Linked DNA regions of Neurospora crassa OR74A. The protein of the gene in region 2 interacts with the protein of the main gene of each other region in a pairwise test. Links are inferred from orthologs where the notes say so. Each region holds a gene or a part of one and is shown on either strand. Other genes may lie near its edges. The genes, in order: NCU02358 and NCU03357.

Region 1 (9,090 bases), on a different chromosome or scaffold from region 2:
CAACTTTACGGCTCCTATGGGCTCTCAGATCCAGAGACCGTCTACATCAGCAGGAGAAACAAGCCATGCCCTAGTCGATACGCTCTACAGTCACCCTTCCGTCAAAATCATATCCTTTACTGCTGGGAACCGGCCCCCGACCCTCGGTCCCACTCCTCCTAATACCCCTACCAGCGTCGAGCCAGGCTCTCTGCCGTGGTCTTCCCATCTGGAGAGGACCATTGCAGTCGGTATGTCCGTAAACTGGAGCGTGTGTGGTTTCGGAAGTCTGACAATATCACATTACAGGACACTTCAGAATATACCGTGCCCCTGGCTCGATAACCTTCCTCAACTGCGGTTCTGCCCTCCAACCGATATTTCCAAAAAGCCAGGCTTGGTGTGTTGATGAGGACTCGAGCAAATTCATTCTACAAATCCGGAGGCCCCAGTACTGGCGCATCGAGGTGCCTGTTGACGACCCGGAGGATGTACGACGCGCGCAGCTTCTGCGTGAGGTTTTCGACCAAATCCTACAATTCGAAAAGACTGAATGCCCTTTTCAGCGATCCTTTACCGTCGAGCTACCCGAACGTCCGCAGACGCCGGTTATCAAGAAACCGTGGACTCCTGCTAGGAGATCTAGTGAATCCATCATTCCCACCCCGGTCAGCGCGATCACGATACCCGCCCAGATTGCCCGTGTACACCGAGGTCCGCCTAAAGATGACACCATCAGAGTGCGCAAGAGAAGAGCGACTGGTACCACAAGCCAGTCAACCTTACCCACCAGCGATGATCTGTTTAGAATACAGGAGCATAACATCGTTTCGGTACCCGACATTACACTCTCAAGTCAGCCCGAGGAGGAACCACAGCAGCCAGAGTCGTTGTCTTCGCGGAATTTCACAAGGACCCCTCTCATACCAAGCGGCCAGCAAACTAGTCATTCTGTTGCCGCACCCCCGCAACTAACGTTGGTCACTGCATCGCACTCTACTGAGCCATCCATATATCAACTGGACGGCCATGCGCCAGAAATACCCGGATCACTGTCTTCGGTAACCTCCCGCGACTCTTTCTACAGTGTACGATCATGCAACTCTCATATTTTCCCCCCTTCCCCACCCTTGTCCAAGCCGACGTCTCCTTCAGGCTCTTCCTGTCCACCTGGAAAGAAGAACAAACCAGCGGAAGACTCATCCACCCTCACGTTAGATAGGGCAAATCGATCTAACATTTCCCAGACATCGGATACCAGCCCGGTAGCAATTGATCGAAGCGCCACCTCCAGCTCGACATTTCACGGCACAGCTCCCTCGTCTACCCATGACACCGATTCTCCATGTAGCCCAACAACAACAGGACTAATATTAGTTACTCCGTCGCCCAACGCATCACCGACTTCCCGTTCCCGATCTCCCTCCGTCAGCAGTCGTCGCTCTCTCATCCGCGGCCGCCCAACAACAAGCAGCAGCATATCCCCCAGTAGGAGAGCGCTTTCACCCCTACCACGTGCTGCGGATTTGTTTGCGCCTCGTCGAAGGGCGCCCTCTACCAGCAAGCTCGAAGTAGTGCGCAAGCTACCCATGACGGTCATCAATAAATCCTTCGAAATCTTGATGGCGCCTCCCACTCACTTGATGAGCCTCATGCTCACCGTTGCGGCGCGCATCACCGCTGGACAAAAGAGCGGCGCGGTCTTGGGATCCGGCGAGGGAGGCGAGAGGATACCCGTGCAGTGGGATCTTTCGGACGAAACGGAGGACACCAGCAGTTTCCCCCAACGGAAATCGTCAGCAGCGACAACGCTGTTTTCATCAGTGAGAAGGTGGAGTGTCTCTCATGTGAGTAATGATGACGACCACCTGCCCCCGCATATGCGCGGGCGGGAAAGGGGGATGAGCTTGAAGATGGCGGGGAGTTTCCCGGAATCGGATGAGGAGGGCGAGCACGACGATGGCGATGGCGGCAGCACTTCGGATTCCTCACATGGTTCTCATGAGCCCACAGCTCGACGAAACGGTGCTCTCAAAGCCGACGATGGGTCGAGGCTCGATGGTGCCGGGATTGGAGGACCAGAAGACGATCCCCAGTTCGATTGGAACCAGAGCATGGGAGTGGATTAAATGGTGTGCTTACGTGGAGGTTCGGCATCTTGCGATTGCTTTGAATAAGATGGAGCTATATCTAGCAACCAAACCCCCCTCAGCCCACACAATTGTGGAAAGGGTTGTTGTACCTGTACCAATACTGCTTTGTTCCTATAATTCGGTGTTTTAATGGAGAGGGAAAGGGAGGGGGGCGTTTTCAGGGAACCTGGGTATGCATGGGATAGATAGATACCCTGTTTCGATGTCCCTCTCAATAGGTGGTGGATATTAAGGCTCAGGCAGTTTAAAAGTGGGGAGAGGGGGATCAAAGGTTGAGGCCAAGACCACGGGAGAGGTAGAGAAGCAGTGTGTTTGGATACCCGGACGTAGGTGAAGCGAAAGGTATCACCGTCTAGGAGCAAAGAGGGAGCAGCCCTGCCATAAGCTCAGGTTAAATGGCGTGCTAGTCTGTGACATGTAAGTCATGGAAAACCATACTACTAGCTAGAAAGAAATCAGCGCGATAATGGCGCCATTGCATAGTCGAAAAGTATCGTATTTCGGTTTAGTTTGCAGCTTTGAAAGGCCGGCATCATATATGGAACCCCGTATAGAGAATGAACACAGCAACCATCCCAATCTTGCTAGCCACCCACAACGAATGCCTTACCAAGTAGATATAGGGAAGGCAGTAGAATGCATCCCCTTTTGCTTCAAGCCATAGCTGTTCCGTTTTATGCATATCGGGGCTGTCTTGATCGGACTCCACCCTCTTGCTACCTACAAAAGTAATTATCGAATCTACCTGAAGCTGTCCATGTGTTTAACTTTGATTTCTGCTTATACAGGACATCACCTTCGAAAATCAATGCTTCCTCTTCCATTATCTCTCCCAGTATCCAGCGTAGGTCGGACTGAACAGCTCGAGCTCCGTCTTCTCCTAGCCCTTTGCTCACTAGGATCCAACGGCCTCAGGCCACTTGTCTTTGCAAACAAGTTTAGGATGTCCGTCAACGACACCACGCCTGTCAAGCGCCCTGACAGTCCAGCACCCGGCAGCGCCGAAGCCGGAACCGAGGTGAATGGCCCCTGTGCTGGCGGCGACTGGGGCGTCGACGTTGTGATGGCACCTGGTGGAGGAACGACAACAGCTGCCGATCCAGGGGCAGGACTGCCCGCTCTGCCGGGCGAAGCAACCGGAGGTGATAACGTTGAAAGGGGAGGCAAGCTGGAAGCCTGCAGTAAAGGTGTAGCCGGGGCGCTAGGCGACGGCGAAGCGGACTCGACTACCCACATACGATGAGACTGCGTTGCGACCAGCTTGGCGACCGTGTGAGCTAGGGTAGAATACGGATTGACGTAGAAAACTGGGAAGGAGTCACGGCCATGCTCGACACCACGTTCGGAGAGAATGACGCTGACGAAGTGCATGCATGAAGCCTTGAGCAGGGGCAGACTGTTGGCGTTGGTTAGGAGGCGCACGTCAACGGTGGAAATATTTCCCACAACGTTGTGGCCGTTATCCACAACCGCGACAGATGTCAGCCCCTCGGAGCTCATAAGAAAGAGAGCATCGGCAAGAGGAGCGTCAGCGCTAGGAGATGTTAGCCAAGCGACTTCAGGGCACCGGGCGATTTAGGTACACAAAGCGGAGGTGGCTTACTTGATGGCGATGATTTGCTGCGTCCCGATTTGAAGATCACGCAGCGGGATCGTGTAAAGACGATCAATTAAGGGGAAATTGACGGCCTCGTACCAGAAGAACTCGAGTAGGCGCAACTGGCTCAAGATACCCACCACTTCTGAGTCCTTATTGGTGACCAGAACGCGGTGAATGCCGCCTCCAAACACTTCAATGGCTTTATCGAGAGTGGAATCGGCTGGGAGCTTCACCAGTTCCTCGTGGCGAAAGATGGGTTGGAGGGTACGTAACGGGATCTCTTCCTGAGACTGCGCTTTGACCGAAATATCTGTATATAGAGCGACCTGTTCTTCTTCGGGCTTTGCCAGGCCTACGACGGCCAAAAGGTAGGCATTGAGATCGCTGTGGTCAAAGGTAGAAACGGCTTCCTTCGAAGACGAGTTCTGGCGGACAAGGACCACATTGTTCGGACTACTTTGAAACAGGGTCTGGACAGTAAGTAACGATATCAGCAAGGTCCAAACCAACGACGAAGATTGGCACAGAGGCACTGTCGCACCTTGGTGGCCTCTTGGATACTAGTGTCCAGTTCCGCCCATTTGACTTCATCCGGCTGCAATAACTCGCCAATGGCAATGTCCCGCCAGTCACGGCCGACATAGCGAGGGTTTTGATGGCGGTTTGGCGGTGGGTGGCTCATCAGGTCTTGAATTGCTTGCTGTGTGAAGGAGGGGTGTCTCTGAGTACGTGGCGAGGGGGGCGGATGACGTTGGTTCTCAGCGAAGCTCTGGCGATGCGAATGTGACGAAACATTGCTCGTTGTTTTGGACAAGGGGTTGCCGCCTTGAGAGCTGGAGCGTTCTGGAGGAGACGGGAGCGAGGCGCCGGACAGCGCAGTGTCAGAGACCGGTAAGCCCGGGTTGGCGTTGGCCAATGTGCCAGGAGAGGGCGATTTTGTGATTTCTGATGAGGACTCCATCGAAGCTTCCGAGATGTGGTGATGGTGTTATTGTTGATGTTGTTGTTGCTGGATTTCTCGGGTAATAATGCACGCAACTTGAAGCACCCGCGGCGGACACGGCGATGATGCGGATAAGACCGAAGAAAGAAGAGAGCTTAGGGTAGTTCAGTTGGAGATGGTTCACGACAGATCGATGCGCGGAGAGAAGCTACTACTGGTACTGTATCTTTGCCGAAAGTTCAAGGTGACCGCTGCCGTCGTAGTCGGTTCCGCTGTTCGGAAGGTACAGGTATGCTTCGTATGTATGTAGATGTAGATAGCGTTTCACTTGAGCTTGTCTGCAATCTCGGGGTCGTTGCCGCCGCCGTCTTTGCGCAACCGAGTATGTGGTAGGTAATGGTGGAAGTGTATCTGAAATTCTGAAGTATCTGGCAGGAGAGTGTAGTAGAGGTAGTATGGCGGGAATCAAACACTCAGTGATAGGTAAAGTCGAGATCAAGACTACGAGAAAGATTCAGATCGGCTTGTTGCGACTGCCAACGAAACTGACGAAGCAAGAAAAGCATTGACCAGTCGAGAGCAACAGGAACCTATGGAAACGTCCGCCTGATTCTCAAGTCCAGAAACGGGAGAGCAATGACGATGGTCCAGCCGCGGCACGTACCTATCCTGAGCATACCTACCTTAACGTGATGGTGCGGGGTTGCCCCTGTCTAGCCTATGCGCGGGAAGCACTAGCCTCCCTCTCGTCACTGACTGTCAGGCTACTCTCACACTAAGGCGTGCGGATAGTCTGTACACAGGTAGTGTCCGGCGATAAGGTCACCTGCAGGGCAGGACAGGGCTGAGGCTGTCACCTGTTGACCGTTGCTGCGCTGCACCCAGAGGCGATCAGGTAGGCAAGTAGAGGTAGGCTGAGGTGCGAACTGAAGGCAGCCTGGCGCAATTAGGTTTTTGTCGATGAAAGTCCATCCATATCCAGTGGGGGAGGGAACTCCATGGGGTTAGACCTAGATCAGGCCTATCCACCATTTTCTGTCACCTACATTTCATCTGGGCCTTCACCTCCGAGTCCTGCTTCCCTTCCATGTTGTTGATCATGATCATCACAGACGCCCTACCCACCCGGCAGTGGAAGCCTGGGCACACAAGTTGTGGAAGCTGGGGCCGCCCTGGAGCTTTCCATAGGTTGGAGGAAGGAACGGCCAGAACCGGTGGCCATCTCAAGATGCCACTGCCCCACTCCGTAGTTTTAGCGGACCTCTGCCGCTTGATAGTTATTTACTAGGTGATCACATAGCAAACGGTGCTGTGCTCTAACGGGATGTTAGCGACGCGGCGGGGGGAACCTGGGCGCTTATGGGGTAGGTACCTACCTCTACCTACCTAGGTAACGGGAGGTAGAGGTAGAATGTCTGCCTGCCCTATGCTACCTTTAGGTATGCCGAGAGGCACCTACTTTTGTACGCTACAGTGCCGTGTGCCCCTCGGCCCCCTCCATTCATGAGCTCGGGTTGACCCAGACCCAATCAAAAAAAAATATTGTCCATTCGGTTTTCATACGGTCCATGCCCCCCCCCCTCCCACTCCCCTCGACCCTTTCGAGCCAGTCTAGAGCCATCAAATCACCAATTCTCGACAATCCAAATCCACCTTTGACTGGAGCAAAGTCGAGTTTCGGACGCGTCCTTTATCGCGACTTGAATTCATTCAAGTCTCGGTATCACTAACGGTCACCGTCGACGCCTGTCGTCAATCCATCATCAACTTGGCACTCGAGTTGCTTCTCCATCCGCACCGTTGCCGTGTCCACCTCAAGTCCGTCCTCCCTGGCCCGCCTTTTTCCCAGTCCTCATCCGTATCAGACTTTAGCGAGAGTTCTGATGTTGTTGTTGGGCCAACATCGTTAACCACGTTCCGCCTCTTCCAGAGCCCACCAACCGACGATAACCCAGGGTCACACATTGTGTGTAAGGAGTGCAGTGTGCTTTGCGATTCACTCTTCTGCTCCCCGACCCCACGGCACCAACTAGACACAACTAGCACTCTACTTCGCAACATACATCATTCATCATGTCGGTCCTTCCCGCCGATGTTACGGCCGAGCTGAGCCAGCTGCTCCAGGCTCTTCAGTCGGCCGACAACAACATTCGCTCTCAGGCTGAGGAGCACTTGCAAAACAACTGGACCAGCTCCCGGCCTGGCCTCCTCTTGATGGGCTTGGCTGAGCAGATTGCTGGATCAAGCGACGCTTCGGTATGGCTTCTTCGCAACCCTCTTTTGCTGGGCCGGTCGCCTCAGCGTGTCACTGCTCACATATAACTCACTCGTTTTTGAACCTTGCAGGTCCGTTCTTTCGCCGCCGTCATTTTCCGCCGGATAACACTCAAAACTCGCAAAGCCACGCCGACCTCCGAGGCTGCTACCGATATGTTTCTTTCCCTTGACAACCACGAGGCCGTCGCTGTCCGCAACAAGATTCTCGAGGCCATCCTTGCCGAGACAGACAGAAACGTTCGCAACAAGATTGGTGATGCGGTTGCCGAGGTTGCTAGGCAATATTATGACAATGACCAAAATTGGCCAGAACTACTTCAGACTCTCTTCAACCTCAGCCAAGCACCCGATGCTGGCAAGCGCGAGACGGCCTTCCGCATTTTCCACGCTACCCCTAGCATCATTGAGAAACAACATCAGGATGCCGTAGCCATGGCATTTGCCAAAGCATTCACGGACGAGTCGGTTGCCGTCAGGCTTGCTGCTATGGAGGCTTTTGCGGCCTTTTTCCGCAGCCTGGGAAAGAAGAACCAGGCCAAGTACTTCGAGCTCCTTCCTCAGCTCCTCAACATCCTTCCTCCTATCAAGGACTCGCAAGATTCGGACGACCTTAGCCAGGCCCTCATCGCTCTCATCGACTTGGCCGAAAGTTCCCCCAAGATGTTCAAGACCGTCTTCTCGACTCTTGTTGGATTCAGCATTTCGGTCATTCAAGACAAGGAGCTCACAGACCTCTGCCGACAAAATGCGCTGGAACTTATGGCCACCTTTGCCGATTACGCTCCGTCCATGTGCAAGAAGGATGCTTCTTATACCAAGGATATGATCACACAGTGCCTTAGCTTGATGACGGATCTTGGTGAGGATGACGATGATGCGGCCGAATGGCTTAGCTGCGACGATGTAAGTTGTTGGGTCACTTGTAACTTCTGTGGGGCCCATACATTGGCTCTGTGCTAATGGCGTTTATGCAGCTCGACACCGACGAGAGTGACTCCAACCATGTCGCAGGTGAGCAGTGTCTCGATCGTCTGGCTAATAAGCTCGGAGGTGCCGCTATTCTCAGTCCCATCTTCGGCTGGTTGCCTAGCATGATGAACTCCCCGGCTTGGAGAGACCGTCACGCTGCTTTGATGGCTCTGTCCGCCATTTCAGAAGGCTGCCGCGAGGAGATGATTGGTGAACTGAGGCAGGTCCTTGACTTGGTTGTCCCGGCGTTAAAGGACCCCCATCCTCGTGTCCGTTGGGCTGGCTGCAATGCCCTCGGCCAGATGAGCACCGACTTTGCTCCTACTATGCAGAAGCAGTACTACGATATTGTGCTGTCGGCCATTGTGCCCGTCCTTAACGCACCCGAGGCACGGGTCAAGTCACATGCTGCTGCGGCGCTTGTGAACTTTTGTGAGGAGGCTGACAAGAGTGTCCTTGAGCCTTATCTCGACAACCTTTTGTCGCACTTGTTCCAGCTTCTTCAGAATGAAAAGCGTTACGTCCAAGAGCAGGCTTTGTCTACCATCGCCACCATCGCTGACGCCGCAGAGCAGGCATTTGCCAAGTACTATGATACTCTCATGCCCCTGTTGATGGGAGTGTTGCAGCGCGAGAATGAGAAGGAGGTCCGCCTCCTCCGTGCAAAGGCGATGGAGTGCGCCACCCTGATCGCCCTTGCGGTTGGAAAGGAGCGTCTCGGTGCGGATGCCATGGCGCTAGTGCAACTTTTGGCCAGCATCCAGCAAAACATCACTGATCCCGACGATCCTCAGGCCCAGTACCTCATGCACTGCTGGGGAAGAATGTGCCGTGTGTTGGGTAGGGATTTCCTTCCCTACTTGCCCGAGGTTATGCCGCCACTCCTCGAGCTTGCTAGCGCCAAGGCCGATATCCAGCTTCTGGAAGACGACGAGCAGATTGAGCAGCTACAGACCGAGGAAGGGTGGGAGCTTGTCCCGCTCCGTGGCAAGACTATTGGTATCCGTACCAGCACCATGGACGATAAGAACATGGCCATCGAGCTGCTCGTGGTGTACGCTCAGGTCCTTGAGGGTGACTTTGCGCCTTATGTCGCAGACATCATGGAGAAGATTGCTCTTCCTGGTCTGGCCTTCTTCTTCCACGATCCTGTCAGGTACATGTCTGCG
Region 2 (8,983 bases):
TATGATAAAAAGCGATAGCACAATATCGATGATGCCTCTTCCACTCTACTACTTAGTATAACGGGGGCATTCATCCCTCTTTTATACAATTACAAACCCGCGCGCCGGGCTCCCCGCAATCCCGCCATCCCGCACTCCGATCCCGTGTCTCTCCCAACTTTGTTCCAATTCCCGACCGGCAACCCGCCCCCACATAACCTCATCCCCCCAATTCCCATCCCCATCCTAGACTTAACCCCGACACGTTGTCCCATACATCTTTCATCCCATTTCGAAGTCAGCCCCTCATCAGGCACCCTCCCACGATTTCGAACTTTCCTCCCCCTCGGATATGTAATGTGAACTGTATGTAACACGGAACCCCGCCCCTTCCCAAGCTAGGTACCTACCTACCTACCTACCTACCAAGCAATTGCTAAGCTCGCCCCGTAGCTCGCCTAAGCACTGTGGGGTCATTACACTACTGCGTACAGTATACTACTGTAATGGAGACATTCCGTTTAGCGTGGGGTCCATTGAAAACGTCATTGATGCACAGGTGCGCTCGCTACTTTTTTGCCCCGAGGTTACACAGTATTTCTGTACTACTACGCTACAGTACACTAGGTACACTACGGCGGGCGATAAACCACATTTGTTATCTGCTACCTAACTCCGAAACTGCCGTCTTGTTAACGCCGTTTCGTCCTTTCATTGTAACACCCGGACTGGTCTGGTGCGACAACTTGATTGGACCTGAATATTATATCAAGATCGAGTTTTCATTGAGTAGCCAAATGTCGATTTGGTACTTACACACTACAGTCTGTTTGTCGGTGATAAAATATCATGAGGTGGATCAGACCGTTGAAACCAAGTGTTGCTTACAAATTGGTTACTATCTCATGTCAACGACCGGAGACTCTTTTTTCTTTTTCTCGTGGTCAATGTACGTTCGTGTCCTTTGTATGCTGATGGGAAATTCCATGAAGCTTATACCTATAATGAATAATGTCTTGCCCTTGACAAAGTTGATGGAACTTCTGGAAGTAGCCTTGGCGGGCGAGCATAAACCGAACAGGAACAGTCCAATACTGTCCGTTGTGGTTAGGAAAGCTGCCAGAAAATCGTAGTAGGAATCATCATACTATGCAAACACGCTAGCTACAGTCCCTTCGGGATGCCTTTCGTTATACATGAAATGCCTAAAATTCAGGTTCAAAGGTACAAACAATATGCGTAGAAATATTATGAAAGTACACCTGAGGCATAATGTACAAACCACAATTGTGCAGACTAACTGGGTCTCAACAGATTTGTCAGGGACGAGCCAAGATCCATAGCGATTTTCTTTACGCTTCTTATATTCCTCCTATCTCTTATTTACGCTGATGCTTCATGTTATACCTACCAAACCAAGAATGTATGTCTATGTAGGCATGTAACCACAACATCCACCCCGACCTCTTACTCGGTAGTGTCCATAGCATCTCCGCCCGTCGCCGCCTCCGCTCCGGCAATATCACCAACAGCAGGCGTCACTTCCTCGACCTTGCCGCGAATCTCTGCCCTCCTGTCCTCCATCCACTTCTCAATCTTAGCCTTCAGTTCCGTATCCGGAATGACATCATCAATAGTCATGGGCTGTCTCGTGAACGGGTCTTTCGGGTCACTGAGCAAGTGCTGCACGATAGTCGACCGATCGACAACGTGCTTGCTGGGTAGAATCACCGGGTCCTTCATCAAGTCGCCCATGATGGGGTCTTCGAACTCGGGCGGTGCGTCGCCAAAGTCGAGATCAGCCTGGTCGACGATGGCCTTGGCCTCTTCGAAGCATTTGCACAACACCTCCCACGCGTGCATCTCGGTAGGATTCTTGAGTGCCTTTGAGCGAAGAATGTTGGTGGCAGACGCCATGGTCTCAGGCTTGTAGGATCTGCCGTCTGCAGCAACGGCCTCGACAAAGGCAGGCGAGGAACCCAAGTTCAGGTAGATGTCCACGAGCTGCGGTAGCAGAATCTTGGGGTTGAAGCCATACTTGTCGGGGTTCTCAACCTTCAACGTCCGGCTCTTAGGACCGGTGAGGAGGTCAAGGTTGAAATCGAGCATACCGGCCAGGCGGTGAACGATTTCTGGCATGGTGAAGGACTCAGCCAGGGTTTGGGTGAAGAGCTTCATCATGCCGACTGTCTCGTTCGCAAGCTGCATATAGGAACTGGCCTTGTTTTCCGCGTCGTGTAAATCGCTCTCCATCTTTTCGCGATCCTCTTGCGAAAGACTGGGGTCCTTTAGCTTTTGCTGGAAGTCATGGATCTTGGGGAAGTTGCTCAATGCTTCATCCAGAACGTATGTTGCATCGTTCATGAGAAGATTGACAAAACGAACGAAGAAGTCGCGGTCCACCCTAGGTCGAGTTAGTCGGATTCAGCAAAGAGATCGTAGGACAAAACATATACTGACCTGCTGGACTCTGTCAACTGCTTCTTGTAATGGTCATTGGTCCAGACGCACTTGATAACCTGGAAGATCTCAAAACGTATGTTGAACTTTTCGTAGAACGCGGAACTGGTACCATTCGACTCGCACTCAATATAGTACTTCATCACAGCATGTAGCAGGTAGTCATTCGCGAACTTGGTGCCGGTAAGGATGTCGCCAAGAATGCCCTTTTTAAGATGGTATGCCGGCCAGGTGCCCTGATAAAGGAGGGTAACCAGCGACGATTTCAAGTACGGGTTCTTGATGTACTCGGAGGATTCCAGAAACGTTATGCATAGAGCAACGACCTCGTCACCAATGGCCGAGACCATGACCTCTGGCCTATGGCGGAAGGTGAACTTCAAGTTATCAACAATTACCTGCAGAACATACTCGGGAAGACACCTGAAAGCTTCTGGCTGAGTTTCAGGCAGCGGAAGGCTGATTTTCTTCCATGGGACGTAGTCGGACTGACTGGCTACTCGCAGTAGCCACACAATCGTGTACTTCATGAACTGTAGTGACCGCGTTTGCAGCGTCTTGTCGGTCATAATGCCTTCGATGGCAAATTTGGCCGACATGGCGCTCTCCAGCATCTTGATCAGTCTCCTCTGCGCCGCCTCTAGCATAGGTACTCGTTCCGGATGATTGGCGACAATGTTGGGACGGTCAGCCTCCATAAGGGTCAAGTTCTTTTGGAAATGCTTAATTTGCTTGTCAAGTTCCTTTAGCTTGTTTTGGGTGGCTTCGGTGCCATACTGATGTGCCGCCAAAGCGAGGAAGAAGACCTCTGTTATAAAGTTGTTCTCCCCTTCGAGTTTTGTAGAGTAAAACGCGTCCGAGTGCTCTTGGTCAGCGTTGAGCTTGGTCTCTTCCTTGATGTCCAATCTGGGCTTCCGCCTGAAGTAGTCGACCTGAATACGGTCAATCTTGGTAAAGGAGTTATCCATGAAAGGCTTGCATAGATTGTCGAGGACGACAGTGACATTGACCATGAAGCCGTCCGACGAAACGGTCTTGGGGTCGACATAAGTGGCTGTGCGCTTATGGTTGACATTCATGATGTAGGCGAACCAGTCCAGGAGCTTGTTTCTCGAGCTAGTGCTTGCTCGTATGAAGGCATTAGCTATCGTCGTCAAGTGTTCCTGATGGGCAGCCAACGTCATTTGTAACGATTGTTGGGTTGTGCCAATTCGGCCCTTGTCAAGAGTCCTTGGTGCGGCAAAGTCGTAACTGGCCGCCTCTGGGTGTAAGGGCGACAGGCGGAAGAATGGCCCGAGCAGCGTGAACCGTTCAATGTTGGGGGCTGATTGCGCCATAAGGAAAGTAGGGTGTTCCGCCAAAGCGTTCACGAGAGCCGGATATCTCGAGTATGTGAAGAGGGCCTGTGAGGTTCCAACGTCAACGCTCAGCACAATTCGTTCAAGTCGCTTGTCAAACTCACCTGGACGTGCGGCTGATAATCGCCGTTCATGTTTTTGGTAGACAGCGCTGTGCTGATTTCCACCATGGCCTTGGTGAAGAGAGGTACAATGCTATCGTCGTCCTCGATCCGTGTCATGGCCTCGTTGTAAAACTCGATGTCGAGGCCTTCTTCCTTCGCAACACCTTCCAAAATGTAGGGGACTATGGTATCGTGCTTTGGGTTTGGTTCTCGACTTTTCAAATTTGGATCATGTCAGCTAGAGCAAACTGTAAAGAGGACACGGGGGATAAATACCCAAACATCTCGGGCATAGTAACGGCGAAGATGCAGTTCGAGAAGCACAAGCGCTTGGCCTCCTTGAGGGCTTCTTCCTTCTCAGGAGTCGACGCCCTCAATATCCTATATCTGGTGACCCGCTTCCAGCATGCCAGGAAGTATTCGAATAGGGGCTTGTGCGGCGGATAGATCCTTCCGGCCTCCATAACGGCCTCTTGAAATCGGTCGATCGACAGCAAGGGCTCCTGATACTCGCCCCGAATTTCCTGGCTGAGTTCTGGCAGAAAGGTCAAGTTATGGCCACTGCTATCGAAGGTCTGGTTCGGATCGAGAGACACGCGAAGGATGCTGGTGAGTAGCTTGTCGGTCCATTCCTCGAGCGTCTGTTCCCTGTATTGCTTTCGCGGTGCTGGTGGGCATGGAATATCATCAATATTTGAAAGGGATCTTTCTCTCTTTCGGGAAGCGGAACTACCTGGTGGTGGCTCTGGCACATCTCGTGACGCCGGCTTGATTATCGACCTTGGCTGAACTCGCGGTGCCTTGTCTTCGATCTTTGACGAACTCGCCGCCGCCGCCGCCGCCGCCACAGCAGCAGCAGCGGGAGGGGTTTCGGTGCCAGGCTGAGGCGTGGAAGAGGACGCAGCTGGCGATGTAGTAGAAGCGACATTGGGGCCACCGAGCTTAGCCAGTCGTCGGGCACGGATCTGCTCCATCGTCTCTTTATCAGGCGCATCCGGCGTGGCCGCCGGCTGTTGCTGATTCGGATCCATCTTGTCGTCGTCGTTGGGCGAAGAGGAAAGGGATTAAGGATGTACGGATATTGTGATTATCGTGACGGAGAGAGCCTAAGGAGAAGAAGGGCTCAAGCTGGCGGTGACGACGTAAAGCTGGATGTGCGTTGGGAGGTTGAGGCGAAGGATGAGGAGAAGGAGGATGGAGGTGACTGTCCGAAGCTGGAGGTTGTCTTCGGCTGCGGGTGCTCAAGGTTGGTACTTCGCTCTTGAGCTAACCACAGTAGTATGTGATAGTGCGGGTGCCAAAGTTAGGTAGTAATAAGGAATGACTCTAGCATACTCTAGCGGAAAGCCCTCGGATAGTGATCAGGAGGAAGTAGCAATTCCCATGCACCTTTTGCGCTGACAAGATTACGTTGACATCTGTGAATGTGACGTGGAGCCTGCCTGCCCCGAACAAGCCTACTGCATGGAGCTCCTGGAGTTCACAGGTTGGCGGGGTATTTCGGGACGTTACTTACATTTAGTGCTTTTGGCGGGACATGATTTACTGCACTGTAGGCAATACTGGTTCGATTGTTAGCTCCCGCGGGTCTTTGGATCAACTTCCCGTCCCTATAGCTACCTCTTAGACTATGCGTTTTCAGACTGGGAATATGCTTCCATTTCTCCAAAATGAAAGAGAACGAATTGGATCTTGTTCATGCCTTTCATTCAGTCCTTGTACGGTTTGGGACAATTCGGAAGACGGGAGATCTCGTCCAGTGTACCAGGAGTACCTCTAGGTACCAAGCTAACAAACAAACCAGCACCATTGTACTACATATGTAGTCTACCATAAGGGGTACTTCTATGTAGAGGTAACCTCGCAACCTAATGAAGCAGAAACGGGCTGAATGACAAGAAGATGATAACTAATTCTTCGTTGGCGTTTTTCATGGAAGGACCCTAGAATCACTAGTATAACGCTGGATGTGACAGTGACTTTCCTTCGCCGTAAATGCGGAATGCAGCTGTCATTGTTCAACTCATCTACATGAATAGGTAAGAAGATTACGGGGAGCCAACAAAGTCAAAGCATTCTAGATACTTTGAAAGCCGTCTTGTCCAAAACACCATGGGAAACAGACCTAGACCATGTAGCCGTTCTTTCAGTTGCTATTAGCTCTTTCAAGCGTGCCAAATTCCAACACAGAGGTTTGATTCGTCTCCTATATTCTTTGGTCTATAGGCTATCTAAGCTTTAGACCAAGGCCCGACGTTGCAATAAGACAACCTCCAAGTGCTTTCCCGATCCATCCCAAACGCCAACATACAAAACCTATGCATACCCGTTCTTCTCCTTCAGACCATTATGGTATGTTTCCAAAACCAACAGACACTGTTACTTCCGTTCGGGACGGCTCAGACACTGAGGCACAGCAGCAGAAATATATGACCCCAGTGTCTGCCCCAGGAAGGCGAACCCAAACATCCATCAAAGTCGAGGTGGATTCTCACCCCTCCCCACGCTACTCCTCCTCAACGGCGGGATATCACTGGTATTGAGATACCTCCCTCTCGCACTCTCTCCATCACCATTTCTGCTACTCTGCTGTGTCTGTGTAGCCGTCCTTGACGAGTTGGAAGCACCAGCCGCCGCCGCATTCGTCCTGCCTCTCCCCTCCTCGTTATTACCACCAGTACCGCCACTGCCGCCACCACTGCCACCACCACTAGCAGAAATATTTGATCTCGTAGTCCCGGGCGTTGACCCAGAGCCATTTTGCTGTCCGCGACTTTGCCTTTGCATGCTCATCAACCACGTAGTATGCATTCCTAATACTCCCACTTTACTCCCAAGCTCGGCGATTTGTTCATTCATCCTCATCGTATCATTGACCAGCCTCATTGTGTGTCTCCCGTCAAGCTCCACCATCATCTTGCGCAAGTCTTCAATCTTGGCCTCCATGGCCTCAAACTGGGAAAGCATGTAATCCTCTGGTGACTCCCACGGCCCGTCGCCACTGTTGTGTGCCCACGGGGCCGGGGGTGCATCCGCCGCCATCGCTGCCGCCGCCGCTTGTGGGCTACTGTAGTTGCTGTCATTGTGGTGGTTGTTTTCTTGGTCGAAAGTTTCAAAGAGGTCATCCAGCGTGATGTTGTGATTGGCCTCGTCGATGTCTGCGTAGCCTGACGTGGCCGACTGCATACGGTTCAAGTTGTTGAGGGCATCAGCGGTTAGGCCTGACGATGGCGGCGCTGCTCTGGTGAATGCAGATGACTCCCGTACCCCACTGCTGCCAGCACCACCACCACCACCACTACCACCACCATATCTTTCCAGATGTCGTGTTCGTCCGTCTAGAGCGTCTAGTCGTCCCTTCAACTCATTGATAATCTTGTGGTCTTCCTCCCGCGCCTGCATGAGATTCGCAATCGCCTCATAGATGCACCCGTTCTTGAGATGCTCCTCGATATCTTTCCTCCGCGCAACCTGTTTGCACCCAGCGCTCCGGAACTGGCAGTGTGTTTCGACCTCGCGGCAGTCAGTCGCAATGTGCTTGGCCAGACGGTGGCGGACGAGGACAGCGTCGCAGTGCGGGCACTCGGCTTCTTGTCCCGTACACTCTTGGTCGTAGTGCCTCTCGAGGTCGTTGAAAGTAATGGCCATCTCGCAGTAGGGACAGGGCGTAACGTAATGGAGACACCCGTTCTCGGGGCGCGCGTCTTTCCGGCAGATCATCTCGTCGCAATGATGGTCGGGGCAGCGAACAAGGGTTTGTCCGCAATAACGTTCGACGTGTGCGTATAGAAGCTCCCGCGAGCAAACATGATCGCAGCCGCTATTTGGACACTTGACTTTGAGACGGTCGAGCTGGTCGAGTATTACGCGGGTTCGGGTCTGGCTAATGTCTCGGCTGATGTCGAGGGGTCGGCGGTCAATAGGGCATACGTGCTGGGTCTCGAGAGCGCGGTCGAGGCACGAGGCGCAAAAGGTGTGACCACACGTCTTGGTCGTCATGGGCATGAAGAAGGGCGTGTGGCAGATGGGACATAACAAAGCCTCGTCGATCTGTTGGGCATAGTCGAGCGCCTGGTAGTCGATTCCAGATTGAGACTGATGGTGCGTATGACCCCGTGAAGGGACTTGATACGGGCCGTAATCGGCAACTGAGCTGCGTCTGGAGCCGCCCGGGGACGAGGCAGGAGAACCGTAGATAGTAGAGGGGACCCCGGAGCCGAAAATCCGGCGTGCGTCAGCTCGCGAGGAGAGCGTAGGGGCTGCTACTCCTTCTTCGGGTGTATTCGGTGGCGGCATTTCGAATGACATTGGCAGATTGGGGTTTCTTGATTATGGTGTAGAGGGGTTGATATTGTTGTCTTCCATTCGCCCGAGGCCTGCTGTTCCACTTGATGGTTTGTTGATTGTTGAAGATCGGACAAGAGATGGGTATCACGGCGCGGATTGTTCGAGGGAGTTGGAAGCAATTGGAAATTGAAGATATATAGAGACTGTATTTAACTGCTGTTGGTGTGGTGTAGTGGGCAGGTGTCTTCGTTCGAGGCGGTCACCACTTTCCAAGAATCATATTGATGCGGTGATGGAGAGAGGGGCTCAGCGGATCTGGAGAAAAGGAACAGACACAGGCTTGATTGTGACTAGTCTCGGTGCCTATCCATGGTTCAGGTCAGCCGCTGCAGGTGACCGCCGAATTGTCTTGCACGGCGGCACAGAGTAGTCTCGGAGATGCGCTGGTGGTTGACGATGGCGAGAAGAAGATGAAGTCGAAAGCCGAAGACGGCGGAGGGGGCGAGCGACGCAACCGACGGGAAGGAACAAGCCCCAGGCGATAACCGATAAGGCGCTATTTTAGGGGACCTCCAGGCACTGACTGGATGCTGGGACCAGCCCGACGTCAGCCGAGGTCAGATGCGTTTATCAGTGCATGTTAGTCCGGGTACCCGAAGCCCAACAAAGAGACTGTTGTTCGAAGCCAACACCTTGGATATGATGGGCTGATTTGCAGTTATTCACGGGTTCAAGATCATTGAGACCAAAGAGGATGAAGGATCGGCTGTTTCCCATAACAAAATTGCTCAGAAT

The links.
Region 1: the proteins of NCU03357 (region 2) and NCU02358 interact in a two-hybrid assay, tested with the Schizosaccharomyces pombe proteins (2 studies listed by BioGRID). The link is inferred for Neurospora crassa OR74A from reciprocal best matches to the Schizosaccharomyces pombe genes ufd2 and sds23.

What each region holds. Positions count from the first base shown.
Region 1 is NC_026507.1:2,753,022-2,762,111, forward strand, and holds NCU02358 (SDS23), read right to left. Parts: upstream 5,294-9,090; 5' UTR 4,694-5,293; coding exon 4,274-4,693; intron 4,203-4,273; coding exon 3,736-4,202; intron 3,667-3,735; coding exon 2,925-3,666; 3' UTR 2,508-2,924; downstream 1-2,507. Other genes in the region: NCU02359 (hypothetical protein), read left to right, coding at 1-230, 289-1,067, 1,227-2,108; NCU02357 (importin subunit beta-3), read left to right, coding at 6,749-6,931, 7,022-7,855, 7,927-9,090.
Region 2 is NC_026502.1:985,833-994,815, forward strand, and holds NCU03357 (ubiquitin conjugation factor E4), read right to left. Parts: upstream 4,933-8,983; coding exon 4,178-4,932; intron 4,116-4,177; coding exon 3,902-4,115; intron 3,843-3,901; coding exon 2,440-3,842; intron 2,384-2,439; coding exon 1,447-2,383; 3' UTR 1,317-1,446; downstream 1-1,316. Other genes in the region: NCU03356 (hypothetical protein), read right to left, coding at 6,374-8,209. UniProt on the Schizosaccharomyces pombe protein: E4 ubiquitin chain-elongation enzyme specifically involved in polyubiquitin chain assembly.